Linked DNA regions of Macaca fascicularis. The protein of the gene in region 1 purifies or fractionates together with the protein of each later gene. This does not show direct contact. Links are inferred from orthologs where the notes say so. Each region holds a gene or a part of one and is shown on either strand. Other genes may lie near its edges.

Region 1 (8,006 bases):
CTATAAGAAAAAAGCCATGAGGTAATCACAATTTTTGTTTTTACAAAACAAACATTTTTAATTTTGTTTTAGAAATTCAGGTTTTAGATATTAGATTTCTCTAAAGGGATGTCTGGCAAATAGATAAGGGTTTATAAATTTCTACTGCAGAAAACATGAACATTAATACTCAATGCATATACAAAACAGTTAATTCTTGATGTGTCAAGAGACCAAGAGATATAATTATTTTTAAAATTCCAAAGCCTATCGTTAATTTAAACATTCTCACCATATTTTTACCAAAAATACTGAGCAACAAGAAGTTTGGCTTGTCTTAGTTTCAAATTATCTTTCTAACCTTCCAGAGTTAAGCAGAGAACACATACACACACTGGGTAAAATCCACCCACTGGATAACTAGTCACAAAGTTTAAAAAATCAATTTCTTGATCGGAAACTCATCCAACACCACATTTAAATTTAGATTATTTTCTCCTGGTTAAGAAACAGACTTGTGTTAATCTTAGATAAAGGGATACAGTATTTCAAGTATCTAAGTTTAAAAAATGATATATTAAGAGAAGGCATCTATGAACACACGATTTAACCCAAATCTTTAACATCCATGCACATCAATTTTTAATTTCACCACCAAACATAATAAACTATTTTGAGTTCTTCCAGAAAAAAAAAAAATCAGTCAAGAGACTAATTAATCCCCCTCAGCTTTCTATACACCACTCTTGACATACAAGAATAGAATGTAACCACAAAATCTAAACCCTGAGCCCAGACACCATTAGAGCCATAGACAATGGCATTAAAAGGAAAGACAATGGAAGTTAACAGGTAGAAAAGCTGACATTCTCCAAACTGCACAAGATGCTCTAAAATAACTTGATAGTTCAGTAAATACGCACGTGTGGAAGAGTGCACTAATATAGACTTCATACAAATTGAGCCACAAAACAGACCAGTAAGGCAAGCTTTAAGTCTTGCCTTCAGATGGAACTCAATGGTCTTAACTCTGGAGAAATTCATAAGCAAAGGACAGTTTTTCTATCATGTAGCTGCTTTACTGAGAATATTTTATCAACTCATTATCTTTCACAAAGGTTAATTTTTACAAAATTGTCTAAACTTTGGCATCAAGACAAAAAATGTTTTAAGTTACTGCCAGTACTAAGACTGCAGTGTCTTGCACATATCTTGCTTAAATCAACAGTAAGACTAGAATGCTGTGTATGTTTGACTCTACATACACAGTATGTAAGTCCACAGTAAACTCAAAGTTTTCTATTTGGGGAGAAAACACAGGGGTGAGGAATTGTGAAGGACGAGGCCTGGAGTAGAGAGTAGATCAGATGCTCAAGAAAAATAACTGATACTAGGTGCCAATATAACCCAAGGATGTACTCTTTTGCCCATTTTAACAGGAAAAAAAGCCCTTTTCAAGCTCTGGATCCAATGTTAGTCTTTTCACTTTCAGGAGATAGAAAAGATGCATGAAGACACAGAAAAGAAACTAAAGGAAATAGCTGGAAGGACTAGCAAAAAAGAATTTTAAGAGTTGTGGAAGTTCAAACAAGAATTTTAACAGGTAACATCTATTTTCAAGTACACAGTGTCACCAAGACTCCTGCAATGGGCTAAGTGCTTCACAAGCATTATCTCATTTAACCTTTACAATAACTGCTCAAATGGCTGCTATTCTTATCATCACTTCAAAAGGAGCAAAGAGGCTCAGAGGCATTCAGTAACTTGCTCAAGCTCACAAGTGAAGGGCTGGGACCCTTAACTCAGAGGTATCTGCCTCCACATCCTATGCTCTTAACCACTATATACTGCTTCCTCAAACAAAAGGACAATCAAAATAGAAATATAACGAGAAAAGTTTGCTAATAAATGAGAGAGCTTCTTGACTTTTAATGGCCAAAGTTAATGAAAGGAAATTAAGGAATATCTATTCTCAGCAATTTTACTTTAATGATTCAGTAATTATTTGTTTTGGAAAACTTTGAAGGAGTCTGGCCTGAAGCCTGAAACAGAATCATTACTCTCTTGACATTCCCTTAAAAATCTAAAAATCAAAACACATGTGCTATTAAGTAAGTTCAGTCCCTATAACTAGGAGGCAACATGAAATGTCCTATCTTAAATCTAAAATATCATAGCTATACCCATTTTCTATTCTGATTTCTTCCAATTCTTCAGGTTGAGTTTCCTAGACCTTCTTTTAAAGACAAATTTGTTTCCCAAACTCTGACATTGGGAGCTCATTTAAAATGAAAAAAAAAAAATTGCATGAAGAAAATCCCCATCCCTCAAACTCTCAGTTATCTTTCAAAAAACTGTAAATTAGTTAGAAAAGGTCATCTATTATAAACAGCATCTAAAAATGCTGAGTAACCACCACTTATTAAGTGTTTAACTTTTCAGTTATATCAAGAACTTCTATATTAAGAAATGAATCCATCCAACCCAAGGTTGCTAAGTTTTCAAATGAGAAAATTTTGAAAGTAACAGATGAGCTGAGGAAAATCTAAGAACTCATTTAGAATTGGGGCTGATGAACAGCAGCTAATTTATTCATTCATTCATTTCAAAACTGCTTCTGATATTCTGAACTGATGAATGGCAAAGAAATGAGTTCGATACTGTATATAAAAAGGAATTGATTGGTGCATAATTTAATACATTGTATTAAGTATGATTCAATATATATAAGGATAGAAAACTGGCACTACACAGAGGTAATCTGCCGCTTTATCATTTCATCAAAAGCACTGTAATCACCTCCGCAAAATAAACTGCAATTAATTTCTGGTAACTCTTGGAATGAATTTAAACCTGTTTGCTCACTTTTTGAATTTTGTAAGTGCCTTCTCTGGTGTACACAAACTAAGAATTTAATATTCTATTGAAGAAGGACCAGGAGAAGGGATCTACAAAACAGCAAGAATATAAACAAGTTTATCTTCTGCTGATACTGATTAGGGAAATTAATCTCTCTGCCAGAAGAGTGGAAGGATTTAAGAGCAAAGCCAGTCTACTAACCAAAACTCTTACTCTAAATCTTCAATTCCTTAAATGATTTCCTTAAAAGTTAAAATACCAAAGTGGACAAAATTGTGTGTGTGTTGGGGGATGGGGGAGTCCGCTCTTAATACCAGTGGTTCAACTCACAATTCTTAATCTCTAATGTACCCCTTAGGCTCAAACTTCAAGGTGATTTATAAAACTTGCATTAAGTTCTAACCGAGTGATTAACTTACTTTGGATATATGTTGAAGGTTTTCCTTTAATATACTTCAGTTTCAGGAAAACGAAAGAGTTCGAAAATTTTTGCAACATTTTAGTGCCGCATTTCGTTCACTCATCATATAATTTTTTCAGTATCATTAAAACTGTCTGCCTACATTTAACCAGCCCCTACATTTTCATTATTTGAAGAATGAGTGAGGCATGTATTCATTTATAATATCTGCGTTCTCGTGACAGGTGATATGAACTCAAGTATCCAATTCTAAAGTTCTCTTTAAAATGTTGCTATTTCTCTAAATTCCCATTACTCTGACTCTCAGTCTAGGCAAGTTTTTTAAGGCGCTTAAAACGAAACAAAACCTGCACGTGCAAACTAAAAAGTTCGCATCTTAAGGCCATCGCGGCAAATCCCTAGGATGCACAAAGGCAAAGACACCCGCGACGGCTGGACAACTACAGGACAAGATCGCATCCGACCACGCGAGTCCCTCAGTCGGGAACTCAGGGCCCCAAGCCCACTAGGAAGCCAGGACCAGCGTGCAGGGTCCGCCCCAGGGCCGAGTTTTCAATGGAACCGGAGAGGATGGGGGCGGGAAGGAGCGGAAGCTCCGGGTGCAAACCGCGGCTACCGAGCTGCAGCTCATTTCTCTTCCCGGGGTTTTCGGGCTGGGTAAAGTCCCCTCTGGATGCGGCCACAGAGCAGGCTGGGTTTCTGAGGCGGGTAGGTGGGCGGCGCGAGGCCCCCACGGCCGGCGGGGAGGGCAAGCAGGGCTCAGATCCCGGCCCCTGAAAGCACTTTCGAGGCGTCTCCCACCCCCCACGACAAGATGGCGACGTGGACAGCGGGGGAGCCCGGCCGGCGAGGTTGGGGGAAAGAGAGGGGAGGGGAGAAGCCGCAGAAACAAAAAGGCTGCCCCCCCACCACCAGGAGCGCCGAGGCCGGCCCGGGAGCCCAGGGCGGGACGGCGGGCGGGGGCGCCGGCGGCCGGCCGAGGGAATGGGCTTACTTTTTCTTGTCGTTCGCGCCGCCGGCGCCCTCCATGGTGAATCGGTCCCCGCGATGCCTTCACGCCGGGCGGCCCCCAGGCTCGCTCCGGCCTAAGCGCTGGCTCCCTCCACACGCGGAGAGAGAAGGCAAGGCAAGTCCAGAGGTGGGGGTGCGAGGCGGGAAACACCTCGTGAGACCAGAAGCAGGAGAAGCGGGCGGCAATCGCCGGGGTCCGGGCCCGGCTCCGAACCTCTCCTCAGGTGGCTTGTCAGGGCCCAGCCCGACGCACTGGCCGAAGCGACGGCGAGGGTGATCCTCTTGTCCCCTCAGACGAGGCAGCACTGTGCACTGAGGAGCTGAGGCAGCGTCAGGGGGCGGGCAAGGGCGGAGGCGCGCTTGGGCGCGCAGGGAGGGGAGGGGGCGGGAGCGCGCCCGCCCGCCTGCCCAGGCCGGCGCGCGCTCCCGCAGGCCCGCCTCACCTGAGGTGGAGGCGGGTTCCTCGAGAGCCAATGGCGAGCCACGCAGGCGGCCAGCCCACGTCGCTCTCAGCCAATCAGGAGGCGGTCAGCTGAGGCACAGCTGGGACGTGCTGCGGCGCTCACGTGGTAGTCTGTGTTTAGCCGCGGAGGAAAGAGAAAGGAGCTGGGGGCGCGGCTCAGCGCGGGTTTGGGGACTCTGCGCCTTCCCCTAAGGAAGGCGGTGCCCGGCTTTGGGAGGCGCTGCTGAGAAGGGATTTCGGTTGCCTGGTCCCAAACCTGCATCATATTTTCCTACTCTTCGTGCAGCAATGTAATGCTGCCGCTCTCTTTCTCTTCGGCCGCAGTGCTGAGCGTGACTGCCGCCCAACTCTGCTGAGCTCTCTGTTCAAAAAAGCGGACTTCGCCTCGTGGCTGCAAGCCCTTCTTTGGTCTCGTTGCTCAGAGGTGTTACAACGGGGTCTTTCCTTGCCAGGTTACCTAACCATGGGTCAATGTCACCCACTGCACCTTTGCCATGGGACACAGGGGAACTCACCTTGTCCACTAAGTTTTTCTGTGGCGGAGTTTAATTACTGAATAAATGCAATTAAAAATAAAAATTAACTCCTCTTGCTGTAAACTTCAAGGGAAATAAAGTTGCAGGGAAATCTTAAAATCTGAAACTATGTTAAGCATTCACAAATAGGTATAAATGACTTTAATAAGCATATAAACCAATTTCGGGGAAAGAGTAGAAAAAATGGTCTTTGGCAACTTTGCAAGCTACTAAATAAAACGTAATCATTTTTGTCTTTGGAGGCATAATGGATATAAAAGTGTCTTCAAGCCTGTCAGTCTTATAAAACAAAAGAATATATTTTGAGCCCAATAAAGGAGCATTGCACATATATCTCTACTTGGCGCTAAATTATTTTACTTCTCACCTTTGCGTTACGAGTTTCTTGTTAAAACCTAGCTTTGGGTTGTAAATATAAATATCTGTAGTGGCTTTCAATTGTATTAGCATGTAAAAACAATGGTCTATATAAAAGCATCAAACTCTGATAAGACAACAACCAATGTATACAGCACCTCTTTCTAACTGGTCAGTAGACCTACAAAGATACGATTCAACATTGACCTTAGCGGACACCGTGGTTCCAGCTACTCAGAGGGGTAAGGCTGGAGGATCCCTTGAGCCTGGGAGTTCCAGCCTAGAGAACAATAGCGAGACTCCATCTCTTTAAAAAACTTTTGGTCTTCACGCTACTTTTGTTTTTTCAGATCTACAACACTAAATGATATGTATTATGTCTTGAAAAGAACCATGGGAAATGCCTGAAGAGAAGAAAGAACTCAAAATAATTACTCCTAATTTATTTTTTAATTGTGGAAAGAATAATTCTGTAAATTAAAAACCTTTTAGTTTAACATTCTGAAGATACTGTGTTAAGACCACTGGCTCCAGAATCAAGCGTGAGCTTGTACACAGGCTTTGAAACTTACTGGCAAGTCATTAATCTCTCCATAACTCAGTTTACTTATTTATAAAATCGATGTAAAAGTGTCTATACCACAGTATTATGGATAGTTAGATGAGATAATACATGTATACTTAGAACAACATCTGGTGCCTAGTAAGCACTCAGTAAATGTTAGCTCTTAGTATTGTTGGTGGCATTATTATTATCATTATTATTATTATTTTGAGACGGAGTCTCGCTCTGTCCCCCAGGTTCGAGGGAAGTGGTGCGATATCGGCTCACTGCAACTCCGTCTCCCAGCTTCAAGTGATTCTCCTGCCTCAGCCTCCCAAGTAGCTGGGATTACAGGCGCCCACCACCACACTCGGATAATTTTTGTATTTTTAGTAGAGACGGGGTTTCACCATGTTGGCCAGGCTGCTCTCGAACTCCTGACCTCAGGTGGTCCGCTCACCTGGGTTCCCAAAATGCTGGGATTACAGGCATGAGCCACAGTGCTGGCCTGTTATCATTATTATTGCCCTCAAATTTATTCCTCTGTTAACAGTAATTACTCGGGCTTCTCCTACAGTTTAGCCATTTTTAACTATCCAAGAATACCAATTATGTTAATATAAATCCACATATATTCTCTGTTTTCAACTTGGGAACTGCCCATCGTGTTCCCACCCTCATTTATGAGGATAGCTGCAGAGATCTTCAATCATTTCCCTTTTCATTATACTTATAGCAATTCTCTCTGGCCAGTGATTACAGTGTATAATGTTTGTGACATCAAAAGACAAACATTTTGTAACAGTAACTCTAAGTCATTTAAAAATTTTTTGGATCATTTCAAAAGTTTAAAACACAGTGATAATTGGATCAGCAAAAAATATTTTTGAACATTCATTAAATTTGCCCTAAAGTTAATTTTCCTTTTCAAAAATGTATAAAATATATTTTTATGTATGTGTTCATATGTGTATACACAAATATAAATATGAAAATGGAAAGGAAAGTAGTATATGTGTATGTATATATGTGTATATACAAATATAAATATGAACATGGAAAGCAGTAATATTCAACCAACTAATTTTCATATAGTTACAAAGACACCAAATACTATCCCCTAATTCAAACAATCCTATTAAATAACAGACACCAAAAAGGAAAATTTCATATAGGATAAAATTTTAAATTCACCTGTTTACAACTACTTAACAAATGCATTTAGGTTATTACTATGTAAGTATATCTTAAACAGTCATTTAATCACTTTCTAACTGCAGAACTTTCTGAGTAGACTATAAGATTATTTGCAAATAACCCCATTGACCCATATTTAGTAGGAAATTGGGCAGTGAATCAGGAGGCTAGGTAAAACTTGAAATTTTGATTACTACTAAATAATATAGAGCATTGAGCCTTTTGAAAGTGAAATGCATCAGATGCACAGAGTTTATAGGGTATTAAACTCTGCAAGAAGACCTAGTATTCAGTAAATGATTCCTGGCCTATTATTACCCTTCGTTGTTTCTTTTTCTTTAAGCTATTCATAACAAGAACAATGGCAGCAAAAGGGTATTGTTTGGAAGGAAAGTGCTTAGACGATAAGAGGGATTAAAAATCTTTTTTTTTTTTTTCCTTTCAAGAATCAAAACACCAAGTATCTGTAATGCCAACACTTTGGGAGGCTGAGGCGGGAGGATCACTTGAGGCCAGGAGTTTGAGACCAGCCTGGGCAACAAAGTGAAACTCCCATCTCTACAAAAAATTTTAAGAGTTAGCTGGGCTTGGTGGTTAGTGCCTGTAGTCATAGCTACTCTGAAGGCTGAGGCGGGAGGA
Region 2 (8,223 bases), on another chromosome or scaffold:
TCACTTTCACCTAATATAGTGGCTGGGACACAATAGGCATTCTGTAAACATGTGTGGAAGGGAGAGGCTCCTACCAGTGACGGACACTAAGAATATTTCTGTGAGGTTTTTCCCACCCAGAAAAGACTCAAATCTAAAAAAGAAAAATCTGAACCCAAAACCAAAAAACAACAACAAACACAAAGAAACCAAAAAACAGAAGTCAAGCTGGTTATAAGAATCAATAACCACAGAAGAATCCTGAAATCTATGATGTCACAAAAGGACCATAATTAGGCAATTATATAAAGAAAGGATTTTCACTATCCACTTTATAACACCTCTAAATCATATAGCTTCTCTTCGGAAAGTTATCTGGCCAGTTACAATTCATCCAAATAAACACCAGCATAATTTAATCTCTATGAAAAAGACCAATATATAGCCTCTAAGAATCCTTTTCTGTACTTACTCTAAAGCTGCTGTTTTTAAAAGGTTACGGGTGAAGCTGGGATAGAGTTATAAAGTTACAAAGTCAAACTGGCACAGCTAGAGCACTAATGCTAATAAGACTATAAATTTAGGACAGGTCCTTCTTCATTGGCACCCTGTACAGTACCCAGGCACAGTTCTAGCTACATAGTAGATACTTCGCAAATATTTATTGATCTAGCTACATAGTAGGTACTTTACAAATATTTACTGAGTTTTCAAAAACCTATTCTTGGTATCCATTTTGATACAGAAAAGTAACTTGCGCAAAACCCACCAAGCAACTGCTAAATTCTTGAGAGAAAAAGCCATATGGGAGGACTTTGGGCTCCACACTGAACCAGTAGCCATCAGAAAATGCAGCTGTATAGAAGAATGGTTTCTATTTCATCCTGGAACCTCTTAAAAATCCGATCTAGGTACATTATTAATATTTACTTTTCCAAATCCTGCTCTGAACTTGGAGGTGGAGGGGATCAATCTTGGAAATTTTCCAAGAGGATGAATCTAGTTAGTCCCGATCAATAAATGGCAAACTAGCAGATGAGCTGATGGGTTCTTTTATGTGCTTCTTTTTGCATGTTTATTTTCTGCAATGAGTAAGCACTGCTTTTGTAAAAACAAAACAAAAAAGCTTTCATTAAAAAACAAAAAAAATTTAATGACATGAAAGCCAACAAGTAGGACAACTATTATTTTTTTCACTTTCCCCAAACAATAGCAGTGTTGTATTTGTGCACAGATTCAACTGGCAGGGAACTACTGATTAACAGATGCCTTGGTCAGATGTGTTCTAGTCACTGATAAGGTACTTTCCATTGTAAACAATCCTTTCTTAGGGTCAGTTGGCCCTCAGTAAGTGCTCCAAGGGACAGTTAAGGCTTCGAATTAAGTATTCAAGCAAAGCCTGCCTCAAGGCCACCTTTCAGAAGTGCTACAGAAGAGTTTCCTGCACCCTATGAACAGTTGGACTACCAAACGTTTTGGTGTCAGGACCCCTTTACTTTCTTATCCACTGAGGACTTCACAGAGGTTTATGTGAGTCATATGTATTGGTATTTAGAGTATTAGAAATTAAAACTGAGAAATGAATAAAATATAAGAACATCAGAGTGGTGAGGTCATCACATGTTATGTAGCCACTGGTAAACTCCGCTGTACACTGGTGAGAGGATGAGCGTGAAAAGGACAAAGAACAAATACTTTCTTTTTTTTTGAGATGGAGTTTCGCTCTTGTTGCCCAGGCTGGAGTGCAGTGGCGCAATTTTGGCTCGCCACAACCTCCACCTCCCGGGTTCAAGCGATTTTCCTGCCTTGGCCTCCCAGGTAGCTGGGATTACAGACATGTGCCACGACACTCGGCTAATTTTTGTATTTTTAGTAGAGACTGGGTTTCACCACGTTGGTCAGACTGGTCTTGAACTCCTGATCTCAGGTGATCCACCCGCCTCAGCCTCCCAGCGTGCTGGGATTGCAGGCGTGAGCCACTGTGCCCAGCCGAAAAGGACAAAAACCTTCTTAACATTATTCCAAAGGTTTGATTTCATAGACCCATGAAAAGGTCCTTGAGAGTCACTGAATTAGATAATCAAGAACCCTTCCAATACTATGGTTTTTGAGCAGGGTTTATCAATGACATTTTCAGGAAGATAATTGTTTGTTGTGAGGGGCTGCCCTGTGCTTAGTTAGGATGTTTAGCAGCATCCTTGGCCTCTACCCACTAGATGCTAAAAGCAATCCCCCAGTTGTGACAACCAAAAATGTCTCCAAAAGTTGCCAAATGTCCCCTGGTGGAGAATGACTATTCCAGGGTGTTGATTTTATTCTACTGAAATGTGAATTACAAAATGTATACCTCTCACTGCTTTCTCAGACCCCTAATAAGTCTATTTCTTCCCCACTTCCATCTGGGTCTGTTCTTTATGTTATTTTATTAAGTCACAAATAGCAAGAGCAGGTGGGTAGCAAAAAGCACAGCATGAATCAAGTCAGGAAGAGACACTAGTCAAAGTTCATCTTCAGGCATTAAAGCTGTTAGGGACCCACTGCCTATTAGGGCACAACACAATCAGCGAACATTCACCCAGCCATTTATTTATTTATTTATTTAGAGACACAGTTTCACTCTTGTCACCCAGGCTGGAGTGTAATGGCACGATCTCGGCTCACTGCAACCTCCGCCTCCTGGGTTCAAGCGATTCTCCTGCCTCAGCCTCCCAAGTAGCTGGGAGTACAGGCATGTGCCACGACGCCTGGCTAATTTTTGTATTTTTAGTAGAGACGGGGTTTCACCATGTTGGCCAGGCCGGTCTCGAATTCCTGACCTCAGGTGAGGCCACCCGCCTCGGCCTCCTAAAGTGCTGGGATTACAGACGTGAGCCACCGCGCCCGGCCCCATCCAGCCATTCTAATGAGGCCCTGGTAACAACCCAATCCTTAGCAAGTTGTCTACCTGCTCCCTGCACCCCCCCAAAAAATGAGGTAATAGGCTAGTGTGATGGGGAAGAAAGAAAACAAGAGACTCTGAAGGCAAAGAGGTAGTCTACCAAACTCAGTCTATCAAAACCTCTCATCTGGGAGGCCCTCCTAACTGAAACGTCTGGGGATTTTTTTGTCAGCGTCTGGCTGGGAGGAAGTAGCAAAACTGGGAGAAAATCGACATCCTTAATACCTCCAAGTCAGATGTGCACTCCCCATCAAAGTTCCCACCGAACCCCTTAGTCTCCAGAGGCTGGGTCCAAGTTTTCTTTCCTGGAAATTGCCCCAGCTACCTTAGGCTCCTTCGCCCTTAAAACTATGACTACCAAACTCAAACCCAGCATCACTCCTAATCTCTTGAATCACCCCTTCTTCACAGCCTCAAATTCCAACCTTCAAAATGCCCAACCCTGTCCCTGCCCCTGCCCCTCAGGCTCTACTGTCCTATCTGTTCCATCTGTCCCCCACCCACACTCTTCCCCCAAGCTACTCCAGGCAGGCATGGTCTCCTCTCTTAATTTCCTATATCACCCCATAGTTTTTCCACCATCTTCAAAACTCTTCCCTGATCTCAGCAAACCAGGACTCTCCTAATTGTCTCTGGCGCCCAAAATCTGCATGTACCACCCTCCTACGCTCACTCCTCAGTGTTTTCCCCAAGTTACTCTTTCCACCCTGACCCTCTCCACGCTTCACTCCTCCCAGCCTACTCCCTCGGCGTCCACCCCCCCGTTACCGGCCCCTTCTTACTCTCCTGGGCCCTTCTTCCCCGCCATCCCTCTGTCAGGCCTTCTCTAGGTCACCGCTCGCCTCCTCGGGCCAATCGCCGCCGCCCAGTGTCAGTTGCTGAGCCTCTCACCCCCCGCCCCCTCGGACCAGTCTTTCAGGTTGTAGCTTTGAACTGGCGCCCCGGGCCCAGGCGGACAGACTAATCGGGAGGGCCCGACAACTCACCCAGGACGAGGCAGACCAGAACTAGCCCTGAGCCCGGAACCGGGAAGAGGCGGAAGCACACCATGACCCCGCAGAGCAGGCGACGGCGGCAGCGACGGCGGTGGTACAACAACAGCTGCAACACCAGGGAAAAGGCTCGCTGGACCTGGGTCAAGAGCACGGGTGACCACCGACCACAGCCTTGCAAAAGCCAGGAATCGGCGCTTCAGCGCGAGTCATAAGACTAGGGGCGGGGCTCTTTCTTGCTTACAGCCAATCTCCGCGCTTGAAAGCGGCGAGAGGGGTGGTGATGTAGAGGCCGGTGGGCGGGGCAACCACGCCCTGGCTTTTTGGTTCACAACCCTTCCTATGCGCCTAAGAGATATGCGCGGACGGCATTTTCTTTTTCTTTTTCTGTCTTTTTTTTTTTTTTTTTAAATTTTACTTTAAGTTCTGGGATACATGTGCAGAATGTGCAGCTTTGTTACATAGGTATACATGTGCCATGGTGGTTTGCTGCACCTATCAACCCTTCATCTAGGTTTTAAGCCCCACATGCATTAGGTATTTCTCCTAATGCTCTCCCTCCCCTTGGCCCCCACCCCCTGACATGCCCCCGTGTGTGTTGTTGCCCTCCCTGTGTCCATGTGTTCTCATTGTTCAACTCCCACTTATAAGTAAGAACATGCAGTGTTTGGTTTTCTGTTCCTGTGTTAGTTTGCTGAGGATGATGGCTTCCAGCTTCATCCATGTCCCTGCAAAGGACACGATCTCATTTTTTTTTTTTATGGCAGCATAGTATTCCATGGTATATATGTGCCACGTTTTCTTTATCCAGTCTATCACTGATGGGCATTTGGGTTGGTTCCAAGTCTTTGCTGTTGTAAATAGTGCTGCAATAAACATACGTGTGCACACGTCAAACGGTATTTCTGGTTCTAGATTTTTGAGGAATCGCCCCACTGTCTTCCACAACAGCTGAACTAATTTACATTCCCACCAACAGCGTAAAAGCATTCCTATTTTTCCTCAGCCTCGCCAGCATCTATTGTTTCCTGACTTTTTAATAATCGCCATTCTGACTGGCGTGAAATGGTATCTCATTGTGGTTTTGATTTGCATTTCTCTAATGACCAGTGATGATGAGCTTTTTTTCATGTTGTTGGCCACATAAATGTCTTTTTTGGGAAGTGTCTGTTCATATCCTTTACCCACTTTTTTGATGGGGTTGTTTTTTCTTGTAAATTTGTTTAAGTTCCTTGTAGATTCTGGATATTAGACCTTTGTTAGATGGGTAGATTGCAAAAATTTTCTCCCATTCTGCAGGTTGCCTGTTCACTCTAATGCTAGTTTCTTTTGATGCGCAGAAGCTCTTTTAATTCGATCCCATTTGTCAATTTTGACTTTTGTTGCAATTGCTCTTGGTGTTTTAGTCATGAAGTCTTTGCCCATGCCTATGGCGGACGGTATTTTCTAAGGCTAAGGAGAGAGGAGGAACTTTTGAGGGCCGTAGATAGTAGACTATTTCCGTTTTGGCTCCTTGACAAAGAAGAGAAAAATTTTGCGGGCACAAAAACGGTTGCTAGGCATCTCAAACGTAATACATACAAAAATAATACATGCTTATTCTCCGAACACTGTTGTTACCTATGCAGTTCATGCTGTGAGATGGACGAGGGAACCTAGAGGATAGTATGGAGTCACGGACCATTGGAACAAGACATGATCTTGAAGTTCACCTAGTTACAGCACCCTGTTCTCAGATGGGGGAATTGAGCTCAGAAACAAGAAGCATATTTTTTAAAACACAGGAAGAAAAAAAAAAATGAGAGAAATAAAACAGAAGAATAAAGGGGGAAAAATAGAGATCTCTATTCCCACTATTAACACTATTATATATATTTACACATATATATACACACACCCACATCTACACTTCCAGGTGTTTTTCCTATGTACATACACACAAATATTCTGTAATGAGTTAATACTAAGCATACTGTTTGCTATACTTGATAGATGAACAGACAAAACCTAAAATATTCAACAGATGAAAGCATTTAAAAATGTCGAGTTGGAATAAAGCACTGATTCTCAAGTGTTAGTTTCCAAAAGAACCATCTGGTTTTTTTTTGTTTGTTTGTTTGTTTTAACATACGGATTCCTGTACCTCATTCCCCAGAGATTCTGAAACAGTAGGTCTGTGGCAGTCTTATGAATCTCTTCTTTAACAAACACCCCAAGTGATTCTGATTCTGTGGTCCATGGACCACACTTTGAGAAACACTAAAAGAGAGCTTCAAAATCATCTAGTCCAGGAGATTTTAATCTGGAGTCTATGTATGAGTTTAGGCAGGATGGGAGGGGTGTCAGTGAATCCTCAGAAATTACATGCAACATTTATGTATGTGTATTTTTGTGGGGAAGTTTGTAGTTTTCACTAGTTCTCCAATGGGACCTGTGACTCCCTGCCCTAACCAATATTAAGGTTAATAAACCACCCTAATTCAAACATTAAGAACCACTGATCTGTCCCACTATTGTTTGCTTTAATGTAATTAATTCCTGAAAGTGAGAACATTTGTCAGTGAATGTTTACTATCATTGGTGAAACTAATTTGTGAACAAGTGACCGAACACAAGACTAATGAACACTGCATACAGTGTTAGTCATTGCCTTTAGCAAAATGTCATTCGACTGCCATCAATGAGACTTGGCAGGAGCTATGTCCTGGGCATAGTAGTCTTCAGAGAACCCACAATTGCGTTGAGCCCTCTGGAGATGCCCCACCAATACTCACTGGACCCTAGCTCTTCTCTCTCAATTGTAAATTGTATAACTTTAATGTTCAGTAAAACCCTAAGTTCTTTCTATAAGAAGAAACAAAAAAAGAACATAGTGGAAAGAACATTGGGTTGGCAGTCAGAGGAGCTGGTTGTGAGACACCACTTACTGGCAGTGTGACCTTAGGCAGGTCACTTCATCTGTCTGAACTTCTAGATCTTTATTGGTAAAATGAAATAGTGAGACTGGAGCTGTTTCTTGATCCTGGCTGCATGTTGGAATCACCTGTGGAGCTTTAAAAGTGGAAATGCCCCTTGGTCCCATCCCTTGAGCTTCTGGTTCAGTTTGTCTGGAGTCAGGCCTGGGCATGGTGTTTTTCTCAAAACTCCCCAAAACAATATTGGTGGGCCTCAGATGATCTCTAAGGTGGCACCAGCTTTGTAATTCAAGGGTTCTATGTGAGTAAATGCTCATTTATTTAAAATTGGCCAGGCACAGTGGCTCACACCTGTAATCCCAACACTTTGGGAAGCCAAGGCAGGCAGATTGCCTGAGCTCAGGAGTTTGAGACTAGCCTGGCCAACATGGTGAAACCCCATCTTCTCTACAAAAAATGAATAACTAGCTGGGCTTGGTGGTGTGCACCTGTAGTCCCAGCTACTTGGGGACTGAGGCAAGAGGATTGTTCAAGTCCAGGAAGTGGAGGCTGCAGTGAGCCATGTTTGCACCACTGCACTCCAACCTGGGTGACAGAGCAACACCCTGTCTCTGAAAATACATATATATGTGCGTGTGTGTATATATATATAAATACACATATAACTATATAAATATATAAATTATATATTTATATGTGTAAATATGTATATATAAATATGTATTTATATATGTACATATATTTATATATAAATATGTATTTATATATGTACATATATTTATATATAAATATGTATTTATATATGTACATATATTTATATATAAATATATATTTATATATGTATATATTTATATATAAATATGTATTTATATATGTACATATATTTATATATGTACATATATTTATATATGTACATATATTTATATATGTATATATAAATATGTATTTATATATGTACATATATTTATATATAAATATATATTTATATATGTACATATATTTATATATAAATATATATTTATATATGTACATATATTTATATATAAATATATATTTATATATGTACATATATTTATATATACATATATATTTATATATGTACATATATTTATATATACATATATATTTATATATGTACATATATAAATATATATTTATGTGTATATATTTATATATAAATATATTTATATGTGTATATATGTATATATATTTTTATATATGTACATATATTTATATATACATATATAGATATTTATATATACATACATATATGTATGTATACATATACATATATACACATATACTATATTTATATTTATATATAAGGACAGCCAGCCATGGTGGTGCACACCTGTAGTCCCAGATACCAGGGAGGCTGAGATGAGAGGATTGCTTGAGC

The links.
Region 2: the proteins of HIF1A (region 1) and LAMP2 purify together in Homo sapiens (affinity purification with western blotting; 3 studies listed by BioGRID). This does not show direct contact. The link is inferred for Macaca fascicularis from reciprocal best matches to the Homo sapiens genes HIF1A and LAMP2.

The regions. Positions count from the first base shown.
Region 1 is NC_088381.1:129,531,331-129,539,336, reverse strand, and holds the start of HIF1A (hypoxia-inducible factor 1-alpha), read right to left. Parts: upstream 4,585-8,006; 5' UTR 4,289-4,584; coding exon 4,254-4,288; intron 1-4,253.
Region 2 is NC_088395.1:126,742,202-126,750,424, forward strand, and holds the start of LAMP2 (lysosome-associated membrane glycoprotein 2), read right to left. Parts: upstream 4,096-8,223; 5' UTR 3,968-4,095; coding exon 3,904-3,967; intron 1-3,903. UniProt on the Homo sapiens protein: Lysosomal membrane glycoprotein which plays an important role in lysosome biogenesis, lysosomal pH regulation and autophagy.